Linked DNA regions of Bombyx mori. The protein of the gene in region 1 purifies or fractionates together with the protein of each later gene. This does not show direct contact. Links are inferred from orthologs where the notes say so. Each region holds a gene or a part of one and is shown in the gene's direction. Other genes may lie near its edges.

What was found. The genes of interacting proteins can lie anywhere in the genome.
Region 2: the proteins of serine/threonine-protein kinase fused (region 1) and cAMP-dependent protein kinase C1 purify together in Drosophila melanogaster (affinity purification with western blotting; 3 studies listed by BioGRID, with this or other methods). This does not show direct contact. The link is inferred for Bombyx mori from reciprocal best matches to the Drosophila melanogaster genes fu and Pka-C1.

Annotation. Positions count from the first base shown.
Region 1 is NC_085116.1:10,508,243-10,512,186, reverse strand, and holds the start of serine/threonine-protein kinase fused, read left to right. Parts: upstream 1-1,144; 5' UTR 1,145-1,331; coding exon 1,332-1,442; intron 1,443-1,808; coding exon 1,809-2,068; intron 2,069-2,552; coding exon 2,553-2,721; intron 2,722-3,655; coding exon 3,656-3,811; intron 3,812-3,934; coding exon 3,935-3,944. UniProt on the Drosophila melanogaster protein: Probable serine/threonine-protein kinase; maternally required for correct patterning in the posterior part of each embryonic metamere. May be involved in control of cell division during metamorphosis and ovarian development. May interact with costal-2.
Region 2 is NC_085129.1:12,556,043-12,558,895, reverse strand, and holds cAMP-dependent protein kinase C1, read left to right. Parts: upstream 1-1,291; coding exon 1,292-2,353; downstream 2,354-2,853. UniProt on the Drosophila melanogaster protein: Serine/threonine-protein kinase involved in memory formation. Promotes long-term memory by phosphorylating meng and by regulating CrebB protein stability and activity.

The DNA of each region.
Region 1 (3,944 bases):
TGAGAATATCCGGGGAAAACTCAGGCGATTATGTCTGTGGATTAAGTTGCATGTCGAACACTTCGCCGCCCACTGAGTTTCTTGTTGGATATTCTTAGTGGGTCCGATTCAGTGGTAGATTCTGCGAAGCACTGCCCTTGCTAGGGCTGATTTTAGCAAATTCTCTCAGGTTGAGCCTGTGTGCTCATCTAACCGTAGTTGTAATAATTCCCGGCGAATAGGTAGGAGAAAAAAATATGATAAGAAGGCTACCTAATAGGTCGGGTTGCTTTTTCAAAGAAACCGCGTCTATGATCGCTTTTGGTCTAGAGACCTCGCCACTTTCCTAAGCCGGCTATTGTAAATTATTTTGTGGTCGTTTTTTGTAACAACAAACAAGGAATTTCAATTTTCCACGCTCGAATCGATTCTTTGGTTTTAGATTGAAAATAATAGTTTAAAATTACTAAAAAAAATAAGCTTTTATAAAAATTAAACTAAAAATAGAAAATAAATTTTAATAAATTTGAATTAAAAATAGTGTAAGAAAAAAATGATCTTATTGTAAAAAAAGTGTGGGTGGTTTTCAGGATATGTATTATCAAAATATTTATAACTGTTATAACCATGCACCCCACGGTTTCTTTTTACAATAAATTCATTTATTCTAAATTGTATATCTGTTATGGTGTATATATGGTGCTAATATAGATCCATTAATTTTGAAACTTCCTGTTTTTATTTATTGTTTTGCATTTCTCTGCTCCAGTCTTTTAACGTACATGATATTATGTATTGTCTATTTAGTGTTTCTTCAGGTTTAAATGTGTAATAACGTTGGTTTATTAACTGTTTATTATCTGTGAAAGTGCACAAATATGGGAAAATGAAACAAAGTCGCTGGACGTAACTTCTCGGGATCCTTCAAAAAGTCCACTGAAAAAATCAGTAAATGACCACCATTTTACTGAGATTATATTTCATCGCATATAATCTCATCATATTTCATTTAATTTTATCCCAGTTGATTAATGTCTCAAATTAATCATCTTCATTTCATTTCATGTCATGTTTCACTTCATTTTATTTCATAATGTCATATTTCATAAAATAAAATAAATTTATAAAAGATTAGGCTGTATGGTATGATACTTTTGCCTTTCTATTTGGAAAAATAAAATTACTACATTACGAAGAGAACAAAATATTTTATGTTTATTTACAATACATATGTACGACGACTGGAGCAGAGAAATGCAAATCAATAAATAAAAACAGGAAGTTTCAAAATTAATGGATCTATATTAGCACCATATATACACCATAATAGATATACAACTTTACATTTTAAAATGAATAGCTACGTTATAAATTCATTCGTCGGCGAAGGCTCATTTGGACGTGTTTTTAAAGCAAAACACAAAGATACCGATGCTGTAGTAGCCTTGAAAGTGATAAGGAAGGTATTTATTAAGTTTTTATGACTTTAAATACTTGGTGCCTTCATGATTTCCTAATTTTTTTCTATAAATGTATACCATCAATACAAATAAATTACAAAAAAAACTTGCGAGTGCTTATTAAATCTTCATTTCCACTATTTCCAAAATAATATATTTAATAAGATCATTAATAAAGTGTGATAAAATAATAATTGTACACACAGAGAATGTTATTAACCAGGTTTTCTTACTAGTAAAATTTTAAATGGTCTTATTCAGTTATCATGATCCCAATGTCTTCGCTGTCATAGATATCACGGTCAAACCTCTCGTCATCCACATTAGTTAATAAACAAATATTCTTACACAATAATTCAACATTTTCAGAAAGGTCGCTCGTCTAAAGACTTAAAATGTTTGAAGCAAGAATGCGACATACAGAGGCAATTGAATCATCCAAACATAATTCGGATGATAGACAGTTTCGACACTGATACAGAATTGGTAGTTGTCACAGAATATGCTGAGAAAGAACTACATGGAATATTGGCTAAGGAGGGTTGTCTTAATGAAGAACAAGTGAAGAAGATTACTTGGGACCTTGTGTCTGCACTGTACTACTTACATTCTCATAGAGTTTTACATAGGTAACTTGTTTGTTTCATATTTTATATCAAATAATAATACTAAACACACATTATTAATATTATATCATTATTGATGTAAATAATAATTATATCTAAACATTTTTTGGACCTTGGCAGGGGGCATAGCTAGGTGAAATCAGTATAATTTATTCATTTTTTCTCTATAGCCTGGCTTATAATAGAGACATTCATCTTATATCTCAATGTGGACAGTTATATTGATTGGTTCTGGATACTGAATCTATTAAGATTTATTTAAATAAAAAGATTAATTTGTAAAAAAATTGAGAGTAGGATAGAAAGTTATTATTGTTCTTATAGTTAATATTTAATTTGATCTGAGCTTTTAACGTTGAAATTGGATATTGAAGTAATTCTCATTGCATAAAATTGAGAAAGAAAATAATCATAGAAATATCTATGATTCATTTATTATGATTTTATATTATTCCTGAACATTTATCATACAAAATAACAATTTTAGAGACCTCAAGCCACAAAATGTGCTATTGGATAGTACAGGACGTGCCAAACTCTGTGACTTTGGTCTTGCAAGAATAATGACAAATGCAACACACATTTTAACATCCATCAAAGGCACACCATTGTACATGGCCCCCGAGTTAATTGATGAGAAGCCATATGATCATCAGGTAATTATATTAAAATAGCATTATATAAACAAAGAGTTATACTGTAATTTTCTGTGGAGATGACATGTTTTTACCTATGTCTTCCGTCTGACCTAACTATTCTTAGTAAAACTATAATTAAAAAAAAAAAACTGGTCAATCTGTTGCTTTGTTTTGATGTGAAAGGGCATACAAATACACAATCTAATAACAAACACACTTTCACATTTATAATATTTGTATAGTGTGGAAGTATGGATACTTAGTATGCATGCTGTTCCATCAATGCAGCTATGCTATTATATTATATAGTAATACTTTCAATTTTCAAAATTACATTAATTATTCTTAGTAAAACATTATTTATAACAATAATTGACATATTTTAGAGTACTTTTATTTTAATTTGTCCTTAGCCTAATTAATATAAATCAATAATTTCAGAGATTTTCCTGTACGTAATTAAAAAAAAAAAAACATGAATTTATGCTAATGATAGTTTATTCAACAATATTTTTATGTATGCATATATGGTAGGGTTTATATATTAATTAATCACTTTGCTATAAACAAAAGTGATTATATCGTTAAAACTTCATTTTATACAGATATTTCTGTCACTTTTTATGCACAAATATGCATCAAAACCTCATGGAATATTGTTATTAATCCTAAAGAGTTGCAAACATTTTTGTACATTACAGGGCTCCTTGTGGAAAATTTCAGCACCTATAACAACAGGAGTTAAAAAAATTTGCTATCACAATACTGACTAAATATCAATATAATAATTATCCAAATTGTTTTTTTTTAAGTATAATAATATGGGTGAATAAGCCACTTTGTGCTATGTGGTTACCTGAGCCCATAGATATCTCAATGTGTTTGAGCACACCTATTTTGAGACATTATATTGAGATCTCAATTGTATTTTTATTTTGTGTATTTTTTTCAGGCAGACTTATGGTCACTTGGCTGTATTGTATATGAGCTAATTGCTGGGCAACCACCTTTCTGTACAATGTCTATATGGCAACTTGTCCGCATGATTAGACACAAACCTGTACAGTGGCCTAGTTTCATCAGCACTAATGCTCGGACCTTCCTACAGGTTTGTTTGCTTTTGAGCTCTCACTTCAAGCTTTTAAAACTGCACAAATAATTTAACATTTTACGTTTAATTAAGTTATACTATTTGTACCATTAGTTTAATAGTATTAAAATATTTATTTAGGGCTTATTGC
Region 2 (2,853 bases), on another chromosome or scaffold:
TTATTATTTTGGCATTGATGTTCTAGCGTATATGAGGTCTGATAATAAATTAGCGACATGTAGGCCAAGAGCTTGTTTGTATGTCTACGCCAAATAAACAAAGATTTGTAAGTCCATCAAAAATCGTCTATTGAAAGTATAAATATGACAAAATCGTACTTTGTTTGATTTGACTTGATTTGACTTACCTACTATAGATAGATAAGCGAGGGATGTGATAGTTTTTATTGTCAACAGAAAGATAACCATCCTCCAGTAGAATTATTTTTATCTTATACCTTTAAATTCTTGTATATAAATATATATATAATCTGAATCTTGGAAACGGCTCCAACGATTTTCATAAAATTTAGTATACAGGGGATTTCGGGGGCGATAAATCGATCTAGCTACGATTTATTTTCAGAAAATGTTGTTTATTCGTGTTTTCAATAATCAACTCTTCCCGACATCTATTGGCGAATAATAATACTATTTTTCTTAATTGAGGGCAACTAACCGCTTTAAAGACACAACAAGATGGAGTTATCAAAAAAAAAAAACGAGCAAAGCTCGGTTATCATCTAGTTACCTTTAGAAACGTCGATGCAATTAGTGAGAATAGCAAAAAACACATTTATTATCTATGTGAAAATGCATTTAAAAAAACACTTTCCTAAAAAAGTAATACTAGCAATGCAGCGAAGTACAAAATTATTTTCAAGTATATTTTTATGTACATAAAATTCTAATCTCTGCGTCAACGATATTTTTAGAGGGAAATGTAGGTATGTGATTATTATTAAAAGTTTGGGTACATTGATACATCTTTTTCATTATTATTTTTTAACAATTATTTATAAGTATATTTAATGTTTACTGTGAATGTTTAAATTTATTTTAAATTAGTTTTCGTAAATGGTAAATTTTAAAAAGTTAGTAGCAGAGTAAGAACTGCTTTGGCAACATTAGTGAATTGACCGCTTCCCGTGAGCACATCGTTCGCTTGATCTCGCTCTGTCGATCGAGTCCGGCTGTGGAAGCCATTTTATTTCTGGTGATTGTGACAAAATTGAAAGTACTTTGATAGAACTTTTGCATTTGAAATAAACGTGTCAATGTGTTTTTATATTGGAAGTGTTTTGTGACGTGTAATTGTGATTAGTAAAAATAAGAATGTACGTGCTTAAAATTGGTTTGTGCTGACCTGCCCATATTCTTATACGATCATACCACAAGCATCGATTAGTGCAGTAAAGCGGCCTCTAATAACGGCGAATCGAGGGCATTGGACTGCTTTGTGGTGTGAGCCATGGGCAACAATGCTGCCACCGCTAATAAAAAGGTGGACGCCGCCGAAAGCGTCAAAGAATTCCTCGACCAGGCCAAAGAGGACTTCGAGGAGAAATGGAAGAAGAATCCTACCAACACCGCCGGACTGAACGATTTCGAACGGATAAAAACCCTAGGTACTGGCTCGTTTGGACGAGTCATGATAGTTCAACATAAACCTACTAAAGAATATTACGCTATGAAAATATTAGATAAACAGAAAGTGGTTAAATTGAAACAGGTGGAGCACACTCTAAACGAGAAACGTATCTTACAAGCCATCAACTTTCCGTTTTTGGTGAGCCTTAAATTCCATTTCAAGGACAACTCTAACTTGTACATGGTGTTGGAGTATGTGCCTGGAGGGGAAATGTTCTCGCATTTGCGCAAGGTGGGTCGGTTCTCGGAGCCGCATTCGCGATTCTACGCAGCTCAAATAGTCTTAGCATTTGAGTACCTTCACTATTTGGACCTTATTTATCGGGATCTGAAACCTGAAAACTTGCTAATTGATTCTCAGGGTTACTTAAAAGTTACAGATTTCGGATTCGCTAAACGTGTGAAAGGCCGCACGTGGACTTTGTGCGGCACTCCTGAGTATCTTGCACCTGAAATCATTCTATCCAAGGGATACAACAAAGCTGTGGATTGGTGGGCGTTAGGAGTGCTCGTGTATGAGATGGCGGCTGGCTACCCGCCCTTTTTCGCTGATCAACCCATTCAGATCTATGAAAAAATTGTGTCTGGCAAAGTACGATTTCCATCACATTTTGGTTCAGATCTGAAGGATCTGCTTCGTAACCTACTTCAAGTAGATTTGACCAAACGCTATGGTAACTTGAAGGCTGGTGTCAATGATATAAAAGGTCATAAATGGTTTGCCACCACCGACTGGATTGCCGTCTTCCAGAAGAAGATAGAGGCTCCATTCATACCTCGCTGCAAAGGACCCGGTGACACAAGCAATTTTGATGATTATGAAGAAGAAGCTCTTCGTATTTCTTCCACTGAAAAGTGTGCAAAGGAATTTGCAGAGTTCTGAGCACATAGCTGGTGCCTGCGAGCGGACACTCCCGTGAGTAGGTGTTTTGTTACAGTGAATCTTCCGTGAAAGAGAGTTCGTGGAATAAGAGCTGATTTATCTAGAAACAAGTGGCATTGGGAGTTTATAGACGCTGAAGCGAACCCGAGTTAGCACACTGTGCAGATAAAGTGGAGTGTAGGTGCAATGATAGTAGAAGTGATTTCCGATATTTCGGTGGCGTTCATTTGCTTAGTGCCCTTTCAAGTTGACTAACATAGAGTTGGTAGTGAGAGTTAAAGTTATCCTTGCTGTGGTGATGTCCCTGCATGATTACTCTGACACCTAGTCTGAGCATTACACCAAGCACTACCTAGTTCATTATTTCAGTAGTTATTGTCATTTTGTGGTGTGGTGCTGGAGGTGAGCAGCATTACATTGTTTTTTATGTTTTTATAAAATCAACATTTAAACTTTGTAAGTAGTGTATTAATTGAAAAATATATGTATATATTTATATT